2 linked regions of the Neodiprion lecontei genome follow. The protein of the gene in region 1 interacts with the protein of each later gene in a biochemical or structural test. Links are inferred from orthologs where the notes say so. Each region holds a gene or a part of one and is shown in the gene's direction. Other genes may lie near its edges. The genes, in order: high mobility group protein HMG-I/HMG-Y and protein arginine N-methyltransferase 6.

Region 1 (5,809 bases):
CTTGAAGTAATGTCTAACCAATCTTGAATGCAAGCTAATGGCGTTTCTGAAAACCCAGAATAGAGAGCTGGATTAGTCAAAATTCCATTTGCAGACATGACACCTTGACATTGGACATTTTCATACATATATTTTGCATCTCGTAAACTTTTAACATCTCCATTAGCAATCAAAGGTAGCTGAATAGAGTCTCTGACAAGTTTCAACCCCTCAAGATCAATTGATTCGTTACGCATTTGTGGTGTTCTCGCATGAACGGTGATGAAAGATAAACCTGCTTTCTCTAATGTCTGACAAAACTCTACAGTCTTATGAATTTCTTTGAGTAACCTAATTTTGACGGACACTGTAAAAGGATGAGGTATTCGATTTCGAACTTGTAGTACTAAGTCTTTAACTAGTTGAGGTTTAGTTAACAAGTCCACACCATAGCCATCTTTTATAGCCCACCGCTGCGGGCATCCACAATTTAGATCCACCCCACCAACATACCTGTTGACAAATAAAAACTTCAAGTAAATGCAGTGAACAAAGACATGAACCCTATTATCTCTTACACACTTTGTACAAAATCTCTCATTTTGAGCTTAGGATTATCCTTTCATCATAACAATCTTGTAAATACTTACGGTGCGACCATTTCAGCTGCTCCAACGAAATCACCAACTGTCTTTGCTGCAAACTGAGCGATCAGTGGTATGTCATTTTTGTGTGTAGTGAATTCATTGTTGCGGGCCTTTGCAGACTGCACGAAAGAGTCAGCCATTATCATCGGGGTGAAGCATAAGTCGCAATTGTATTTGCGAACCAATGTCCTGAATTGCAATCTGTAAATGGTTTAAATCGTTATTACAACGATATCGACCTCACAGTGTCAGCTGTCCGTCAGATGAGGTTAATGTCAACTTCTTGTTTTTACTCGATTGCAACTTTACGAACTTGCTGTATCTAACCATGGGAGCGCAGACTTTCGTCATTCGTGGTTCTTGTAACAGTTCTAGAATATCGGTCATCATTTCTTATTACAAATAACACTTGAAAATCAAGCCAATTGTTTTTTTAAATGAGTATAGCGACTGACTTTTCCAGAAGGGATTATTGAAAAATACTCAAATGTATTCGACCGACTTGATATATTTGAAACCGGTAGTAGTTTACTGTTGCCTCTACCATTACCTACAGATCAGAATAATACATGTTATCAAGAAGCCTTCAAAGATGAGCAGCTTTTGAAGCGAACCAACCGACGAAAATTACTCAATGCTTTGACGCTGTTTTCTCACATTCATTAAAAATTCAAAAAATTCTCCCGATGATTAAACAAACTGAAATATAAATGCAAAAATAACCGCCCCCGGGTGGGCTCGAACCACCAACCTTTCGGTTAACAGCCGAACGCGCTAGCCAATTGCGCCACGGAGGCACGTCGAGTATGATGTCATTACAAACTGTGTAATATTTGATCCTTGGATAACAATAGCTACTCCATTATTAATATTTCATAATACTTCGAATGAATAAAAATAAATTGGATAGTTCCTATTTAGGTGCCACAGTCTGTTTTATATCATATGTCGGAGGGAATCGTTCATGAAATAATCATATAACATAACCGTTCTAATTTAATAACGGATCTTGAAAGAAAACTAAAGTCTTTGACACACTTATCCATTTGAGTGTGCTGTTATGATAAAGCTGTAAGTTGTAAAAAGGAGTCATTCTTAATTCACCTCAAATGTTTCAGGGGGTTTAACACAAGCAAATCGATCCAAACCTCGCCGTGGAATGATGGCGGGTGTATACGACCACGGTCTACATTTGGCGAAGTGGGAATAAAGCTTTTTGTAAATTTTATTATAAAAAATTGAACCTACAGAAAATTTTTATCACATTTTTACTAACGTATCGATACTGTTACGGCAATAAATATCCCCTGTAAAAAATAAATGAATTTTCTATCGGAGGTAATTTTTTGGCGGGAAGCATCCCAGACAGGGGAGAACCTGGCGGCAACATTTGCAGTCATTCACTCAGCCTGGTCCGCGGACGTCACAGCCACAACTGCGTCTCCCGTAGCCCCGTCCCGCGCGCAGGCCTTTGTCTCCAACGCAAACCTGAGGTAAGTCCCGTCTACGTTTTCTCTACAAATATTTTATTTCTACTCGGATAAATTTATTTTGGGGGGTCAAAAATCGGCAAAAATTCTTAGTTTATTAGTTTAATTTTACTCAGATTTTTGTTTACCGCTGGCTATAATACTAGCAGAGATATTAATTGAAATCTAAAATTCACCAACGCGTACGGGTGATGCCATTTGTAGCTATGGCGTCTCTCGGCAGTCAAGCCTTCATTGAATTATTTTCCACGCAATTTCGTGAACGTATCTTTGGACTGACCTTTGTTGAAACTTTTGTAGGAAAAAATCACTCGGTAAAAATTTATCGCTGCAAAGTTGTTTTTTTTAATTCCGTTCGAAGCTTCGTTCAAAGGGTGGGCTCAATCGGGTAAATACATAAATCGCATTAAACAAAGCGTTTTGAAAATGGCGGGCGCGGAATTTTTGTAAAATATAACACGGTTGATTTTGAAAGTCAATTTTTTCATAGTGTTTACAAACTTGTTACTGCAATCGGTGAATAGGCATCGTCAAAAATCAACAAATACGACACTTTGGTGACGACTTTTCTCTGAAGATTCTACTTTTCTTCGGTACGTAGTTGTGTATACGACGTAAACCTAGCTTTCCTCCGTTGCGCGCGCTTCTAGAAAGATATTTTGCAGGGGTAGGTTCAGTGGTAGAAGCTGTGAAAATCGATAGATACCACTAACATCGGCGTATTCACTGTAAACCTCATTAATTATCGCGAAAAACGGGTTAAACTTTCCACTTCAATACGTGAAACAACCTGTAAAATAATAATCTAGAAAACTGCCTATCACTTAATCGGGCGGGGATATTCACGAGATTCAACTGACTATTTCGTTGTAGCTTTCGATTTTTTCAACAATTTTATTCAAAATTTGGAAGAAATAATCGTGCGAAAGAATCCTAACGGCGCATATCGTAATAAAACTCATCCTGCAAGTTGATATATCCGCATGAGTGACGTCATATCGAATGTATTCCATTATTGTTTATACACGCGAGTCTGGAGGGACGCCACAGGGATGCCAGAGTCATTTTCCCTCCTGCGTCCGCGGGAAGCGCCATCTTGAAAAGTAGTCACTACAAAATATGTAAACAATCCGAAAGACCTTTCTTTTTTACTTTTGCGCACCAGTATCAAGTGGATTGAATTATTAGTATATTTACGAGGTACGGGTATGTTTAGCGCTTTACCTATAGATGAATATGATGGGAACCGGCTACTCATCGAAGGTATAAATAGTAGTCTGTGTTACTTTGCGTAGTACGCGTTACGGACATGGCGCCATTCTAATTGATGCCGACCATAGCGCTGCATCCATTTTGTGGAAGGTTGAAGAGCTACTGTGGTAGAGTGGGCAAATTTGATTGCCAATTATCTTGTTAATGATTTCGATCATGATGGGCGGGGAAACATACACCACGAACTCTTCTCTCACACTTTGACCATCACTTCACTTTTGCTTATTTTCAACTACTTTCAATACGGAATTTTCGTTTAGTTAATATTTGGACTTGTAAACGACTGTGTGATATTAAGAATTGATGAATTTTGATTAGGAAGTATAACAAGAAGACCTCGCTCATTTCTCAAATATATTAACAAATTATGTCATGTTATGTGATGTCTATCTCATAATTGAATGCTGAAGAATATTTTTATGTGTATTATTGTACAATGATGATGAGTAGAAGCAAAAATCTTGTTGATAATTTCCCGATAAAAATCATTCTTTACACTCTTGATTGTTTGAACATACCAGAATGCCATTTTCACAGTACTTAACATTCGTACAATTTAATTAGTATCTAATGCAATTTATGAGTACTTTGATTATTGAAACAATCTTGGCGACGATTGCGTCCGAATTTTTAATTATTAACGATGACCGAACGTTTGGAAGTTATTAAAACCGTATGTGCACTGAAATGTTTCAGATTGCTGATTTAAAGTCCATTCCACAAAGCAATAAAGATGTCAGACGACGGTTCACCGGTTGTTGAAGATAAGAAGAAGCGTGGTCGTCCAGCAAAAAGCCCTGTCAAAGAAGCAAAGAGGAGAGGCAGACCGCCAGTGGAAAAGAACAACGTTGTAACGAAGTCTGACGATGACGATGATGCCCCAGTACCTGTCAAAAGAGGCAGAGGGCGCCCAAAGGGAACGCATAAGAAGAAGGTATAAACTATGCAAGGCAAAATCTGCAAAGCAACTAGAATTCTTATATACTCCTTCAAGTTATAACCAATTATCCGCAACATGTTATTGTGTTACAAAATTACTTTTAGATTTCAAGATTATTCATACCAATCCAAATATTCTTAATTAATGAAAATTCGTCATTGACTTTCATAGGCTAGTGCAGTAAAAGTTGCAACTGCGCCGCGTGGCCGTGGTAGACCGAAGAAGGTAGAAGAAAAGCCAGAAAGCACTGGTGAGGAAGAAGATGAACAGGAGGAAGAGGAAGAGGAGAATTGAAGTAGCTGAGTCACCCTAGCTTTGATTCACTCTCAGATACCCTTGAAAAAAATCCTCGTTCCTTTATTTTAAGTTTTACTATTCCATAACTTGTTGAAAGCTCACACCAAGTGACACCGAAATTCATAATATTCCGAATTTAATAACAAAAGGAGGTAGAGAGAAAAAGTTTTAAAAAAGTAAAACAAAAAAAAATGAGAAAATGAAAAAGCTAACAGAAGTTATTTGAGAAGCCAAGCTTTCAAAGAACACTACTTGTATAAACCGTATGTAATGTATTTTTTAGTATTTAGACACGTTTTGATTTATTACTAAATATTGAAAATGTGAACAAACATTTAAGACTTTAGGCATCCAAGCCCGGGTTCATCTGTACTGTACGACCCAATTTCATTTTTAAACAATGGTTTTTAGTATCTTCAAATACGATTATATTACCTTATGGCACTTCTATATATTAATATTATAAGTAAAAATGGCTCTGCTCCGAAATATAAGAAGCAACTAACTTCGTAATCACTAAATATCCGTAAACCTGGTGGAGTACTTTCCATGTGAAAAGATGTAGAAAGTATTGCTACAATGTCAAACAAAATCTTATTTCTGATTAAACATACATTGTGTGAATGTCAAATTTGTATTAAATAAACTATAAACAAAATAATTTGTAATAATTTATTCCTTTTTAGGAGTCCTCGCCGTTCTTTGTGTTGGGGAGTTTATATTCGACCTGTGTACCTAAGTAATTAATTGCATAAGGATTTGCATGCAGGAATTAACTACAGAGAATAACTAGGGGAAATCATTTGTGCATTTTATTATGCAAAAATAAGTAGGCATAATAGGATACGTAAGTTACATAATTAATGTGGGCTATAAACTATTAGTAGATAATACTGAAATTGATTTACTTGAAATAGGCAATCAGATATCGTTTACATTTGATTTCACTATATTACATGCTATGGACTAGATAGTTTTTATTCATACAGTGCCAACGCTGTATTCTTCGATATTCATAATATTGCAATATATGTACGAACGATATAAAAGTTAGATTATCTTTGGCTGATTGTACGTAGCAGTGATTAATGCTACTATACATTTACATGTTAATGCTGTACCTACTAAGTAAAACTTTTCGTTACTTTAAGCAACTGAAATAATACTAATTATAATTAATAATC
Region 2 (5,265 bases), about 4.9 Mb from region 1:
TTCAAGCTTCGAATGCTGCTCTCTGTTTATTTTCAAAGGTGTAGACGTTACCATGCAAGCAACTTTATCTGTCCGAATAGGTTGACTAACAATGGAACTAGAATGTGAGCAACGATATTTTTCCAAGATTTCCTTGACAGGTCCCATTTTCTGCATGAAAATAGGAGAATAATGGAAAAGTTGATTCTCAATTGGCGGAAATATAATTAAAGTATGGTTCCTTCCTTCAAATAATTCTTCAATGACTTAGTTGCACAGAATACAAACTCGTATCTTTCTTGAACCAATAACAGTTTGCAATTTCACTTTGTTGTTGCATGTAGGAAAAAAAAATCCGAGGATGAGAACGACAATGCGAAAAATACTAGAGGAAGAAAATTAACCTAACATGAGGAGTAAATTCAATTATTCTTTGAATACGTTAATAAATACATACGATGGCACATGTTCTTTGCCAGAGTTATTAACAATTCACCAAAGAATACATATCAATTTACTGTGTCATTAACTGCTTTCAGAACTCGAAAGATAGAATTATAGTCAAGAAAATAGAACTCTGTTTCTTGAATCAATTTTCAAATGCTTTCCATTTTTAAACGCGTCAACGAAAGAAAACAACATCGAATTTAGTTCTGAGCATCACCGTCGTCACGCTAGCGGCGCTTGAGAGCTCGGCCGCCATTACGCGACGCCCACTGGCCAGTGATAGTTGATCATGGAAGTGGAACTGGTCGAATGTTGGCGAATAGCGTGCTTGACCCGTGTCCCGGTACGTTTAACCATGTTTAACTCGGTATTATGATTAGGTGTAAGTTTTTCTTACGAGTAGATTCCTTTAATCGGTTGACATAACAGTCGTGAGTGGATAAATTTGCTGTTTAATCACTCGGCGTAAGGCATACTAAACTTCGACAATCTTAAACAAGTGACTGCAACCGCGTTGAATATGTCAATTGTTTTACCTATTTGTTGCGACGCGACGTAATCAAGAAGTTGTTTTCTCCTATTCGCGTTCTCAGAAATATAGACTTGTTTAGCTTTGTCACAGCGTTTGGAGCTTACCCAAAGTGTCTAACATAAAACTAGATTCTCTACGTTTTTGCTACGAAATTATTACCGTGATCGTTAGATTCGTACTGGCGATTAAAATTCAGTGTAATGTCTTACACGTTTACTCTTCTACCATGTTGAAGTTATAAGTGACCTTATCGGAACAATTCATGTCGAGGAAAAACCGTTACTTCGTGATTTTGAAAATTGTTTGAAATTTAGTAAACCATAATAAATCAAAACATACTCATATACTGAAATTTTCGTTCCTTCAGTCAGTTTAAAAATGAAAAAATACTGATTTTTTTCGCAATGTTTCATTACGGTAACGTTACTAACTTCAGTCTTGTGATATTTTGAAAATGGTCGAATTCGTAATTCTTGTGTAACTTTTCGAGGTAATTATCTTTGAACTTTCTTAGTGTCGTGTTTACGGATAATAAAATAGTGATAGTGAGCTACCCGCTTGAGTGTGTTTGTGCGTTCAGATTGATCGTGAAAAGTGTATGTGAATATCCAGTGCATTTAATATACATACATCAAATTCAGGAGCCGGCTCGATGCAGCCGTAAGTGCATCAAAGTGATCAAGAGTGACATCCTGCAGGCGCTGAGCTCAAATGGCGAGATGACAAAAATTAGGTACGCCCCTGCTCTTTTTGGGTAAGAATATATTTTCATCGAACCAATTTATACTGAATCGGTGTCAATGTGTTGTGATATCGCATCAGGATAGATTCTAATACATAATTTATGGCTGCACAGGTATATTCTAAAGTGTATGTTTTTATTCTGTACTTTCCACCGTGCGTAGTATTAGCAAAGCTATATTAGAAACGCCGATTTTAAGATATAATGTAACAATTAGGCACTCTTTAGGTACTAGGTTAAAAGCTGCACTTATCAAGATGATTCAGATGCTTGGTTTTGTTTTATTAGAACATTTATTCTTACATTGCGTACATTACCACTAAAACATCGTTGAATCAGTCTTCGAGAAAATATGATAAAATTTCATCCTGTTTTGGATGCATTTTTGGATCTAGTCGCAGTCATTTGTTTTTGATAATCGCTACGTATCCATCAAGTCTGACTGCGCCTTTTGCGCGTAGACTCAATACTCCTCGTTTCCGAGAACAACCCGCACACTTCACGACGTCTCTTGGCTGTAACGCACGCACTCTTTAAATCTTGTATACACCGTGGCTGACAACGACATTCCGAAAATTGTAGGTTATGAGTGTCACGTGCAAGAGTTAGCCTAGCATACATCGTCGTAATTTTAGTTTTTAGGAAGATTGACAAAGAACGTAATTTAACAATGGACACCGGCGATTCAACAGATGAATATTTCAAGAGTTACGAGGATCTGGAAGTAAACATTCACTTACGTCACTATTGATATTTACTGATGGAGACAGTTTGAAAGGAAATGATTGATTGTTTGAATTAATATTATTATCCTCCTGTCGATCATTTCCTACTGACTTCTCACTGACGACGGTAGTTTTTTTTCATTGCGCTTGTCTCCACAGGTTCATCGACTGATGCTAGAGGATAAACCTCGTACCCTTGCTTACAAAAATGCAATATTTGCTTGTAGCGATAAATTTCAGAACAAAATTGTAATGGATGTTGGTGCTGGGACGGGTATGAAGTTAACACTTTTATCACATAATAATTAATGAAGTCGATTTGTTAATTATGCAAAGAACTTTAGTTGCGAAAATTTAGACACAAGTGAAGTCTTACCAGTAATATCTGCATTGATTGATGATTCTCAACAGGTATACTATCGGTGTTCTGTGCCAAAGCAGGTGCTGCAAAAGTTTATGCTATAGAAGCAAGCCACATGGCACAAGTAGCAAAAGAAGTAGTTCGCGAAAATGGTTTTGAAAGTATCATAGAAGTGATTCACAGTAAAGTAGAAGATTTAAAGAGTGATGATATCGGCAAAGTCGATATCATAGTCTCTGAATGGATGGGATTTCATTTGATGCACGAGGGAATGCTGGATTCGGTACTTGTGGCCAGAGATCAATTCTTGAAAGAAAATGGACTCATGTTCCCTAACGAGGCCAAACTTTATGCATCTCCTTGCGAATTACCCACTGTGTATGATTTTTGGAACGATGTATACGGAGTCAGTATGGAGTAAGGAAATACATTTGTTAGCATGGTCGACTATCAACATTAGTATTTAATTTCTGGTTGATTCTATAGATGCCATCACGAGTTTAAAACAGGCTGTCAGCATTCTGACTATAGCATGTTCAAGCCTTCCTTTCGTTTTAAAATTCTCTTACTTTTTTTGAATAGGTTTGTCAGCCGGGAACAGAGACGTTTGAAGTCTAAAAAGCCAAATATTTCGTCTTTAGAGGCAAATAACTTACTGACGGATGGAAAGCTGCTTGTTTGGCTGGATCTCAGTACAGCAACTATGCCAGAATTGTTATGTCTCGGTGGTGAATCTACGGTCGTACCGTGCAATCGGAACGGAATATATCAGGGCATTTGCGTATGGTTTTCCGTTACATTTCCGGATGGTTCGGAATTATCGACTAGTCCAGAGTATGAATCAACTCATTGGAAACAAAGTATTGTAGTACTCCCACACGATATTCCGGTAACGAAAGATGAACCAGTAGCATTCAAGCTCGAACTCCGTAAGGATTCTTTGAAACCAAGAATTTATAATGTGGAATATACTCAGTTAGACCCAGAAAACGTCGAACACGATATTCCCTGTCATTGTTATATGACCAAGTGTTTAGTAATAAAAGCTTATCTCTCTGAACATCCAGAGGAAGATATCCAGGGTAGAGAAACTTAATTTTTACTACGAAGTCACATGTTTTGTGATTTCAAGTACCATACTGCATCTATTCTTGCTTATGCAAGTTTCCTTGTGAATAAGCATATGGGTTAATTCTCGCGAAACGGGACGGGTTTCAACGGATGGTCATCGAATTTGACGCGCGGCTAGAATCTCATTCCTTACTATCTTGTGAAGACTCTTCCATAGTGTTGGGTTCATACATAAATTCTTGACTCCTCGCTAACCGTGATTGAACGAATTTTCCTTGGACTACTCAGTTCACTTGGAAATTTTACCGATCACAGTTCAAGTTGTTAAAAAAGTGTGCTATAATTTTCAGCTGGGCGTTTGATTTTGTTCACTGGCAATCAATTATCGCAAAAATTGGATTGAAAATTGAAACAGTTTTCTTTTTCAATCATTTTCTACCGACAAACAAGCAAGAAAAATGTCCAGCTAAAAATTATACCACAACTTTTATCACAACCTGAACTGTGTGCAGTAAATTTTTCAAGCGAATCGAGTAGAGTACAGAAAATCCTTCAATCGTGATTTGCGGGGAATCAATTTTTGCTTGCGACCCAAAACCATAGAAGACTCTTCACTAGATAGTAAGGAATGAGATTCTACCCGATATGAACCTACATAGAATGTTCAATTGTTATATTTGTTTAAATATTTCAGATACATTTTATGTAACTTTTATTAAAGATGTCTGCAATTTTAAGTAAGCCATTTTTTGATACAAATAATTCTGTAGTATTTGTTGTTATGTGGTATAAAAGCCGGATCTAAAGACTACTATTTGTACATGGGATTTTACTTCCAACTATTTTTTAAATAATTTGGAAATAAATTGTGCCCATTGAAGTAAGGGTGCTCAGAAAAAATGGTGTAATACATAAATTTTCCTGCACACTTTGACAGTACTACGTTCTAGTCTGTACGTGTCTACCTGAGTTTTTATCCCGCATAGATTGTCGATTTAACGATGAATTTGTCGGATTTCTTTTTACCATTACTCCTGAAAAAAGCTCGTGTTACGTCATACGCGTATGTTTAGTTGCCTGCCGTTAGGCGTACAGTCAATCGGCGTGATTATAATGGTACGCTTGTTTTATTTGCATGGAGAGAACCGACTGGATATGAATGACATTTGCAGAAGAAAAAAAAAGTAAAACAGCTGACAATTATAATTTTTACTTGAAAGGTTATGGAATGTAGTCAGTTATTTCAATACTGCGAACAACAAGTAGTAATCAAGTGAGCACAGTGAAATGTTATCGTAATATTAACAAAGATGCGAAAAATATCACTCAGTAACGGAAATGATGGGCAGAGATCGGGAAGGTAACTGACGTTCTTCTCAAGGTTATGTTTATCCCAAGATGATTTATC

What was found.
Region 2: of the proteins of high mobility group protein HMG-I/HMG-Y (region 1) and protein arginine N-methyltransferase 6, one has a biochemical effect on the other in vitro, tested with the Homo sapiens proteins (2 studies listed by BioGRID, with this or other methods). The link is inferred for Neodiprion lecontei from reciprocal best matches to the Homo sapiens genes HMGA1 and PRMT6.

What each region holds. Positions count from the first base shown.
Region 1 is NC_060260.1:24,417,198-24,423,006, forward strand, and holds high mobility group protein HMG-I/HMG-Y, read left to right. Parts: upstream 1-1,967; 5' UTR 1,968-2,119; intron 2,120-3,340; exon of another isoform or gene 3,341-3,722; intron 3,723-4,084; 5' UTR 4,085-4,121; coding exon 4,122-4,322; intron 4,323-4,499; coding exon 4,500-4,622; 3' UTR 4,623-5,286; downstream 5,287-5,809. Other genes in the region: tRNA-dihydrouridine(20a/20b) synthase [NAD(P)+]-like, read right to left, coding at 1-492, 630-827, 940-1,016. UniProt on the Homo sapiens protein: HMG-I/Y bind preferentially to the minor groove of A+T rich regions in double-stranded DNA. It is suggested that these proteins could function in nucleosome phasing and in the 3'-end processing of mRNA transcripts.
Region 2 is NC_060260.1:29,298,934-29,304,198, reverse strand, and holds protein arginine N-methyltransferase 6, read left to right. Parts: upstream 1-2,196; 5' UTR 2,197-2,370; coding exon 2,371-2,424; intron 2,425-2,584; coding exon 2,585-2,699; intron 2,700-2,836; coding exon 2,837-3,203; intron 3,204-3,368; coding exon 3,369-3,882; 3' UTR 3,883-4,759; downstream 4,760-5,265. Other genes in the region: uncharacterized protein LOC107220128, read right to left, coding at 1-156; lysM and putative peptidoglycan-binding domain-containing protein 3, read left to right, coding at 5,168-5,217. UniProt on the Homo sapiens protein: Arginine methyltransferase that can catalyze the formation of both omega-N monomethylarginine (MMA) and asymmetrical dimethylarginine (aDMA), with a strong preference for the formation of aDMA.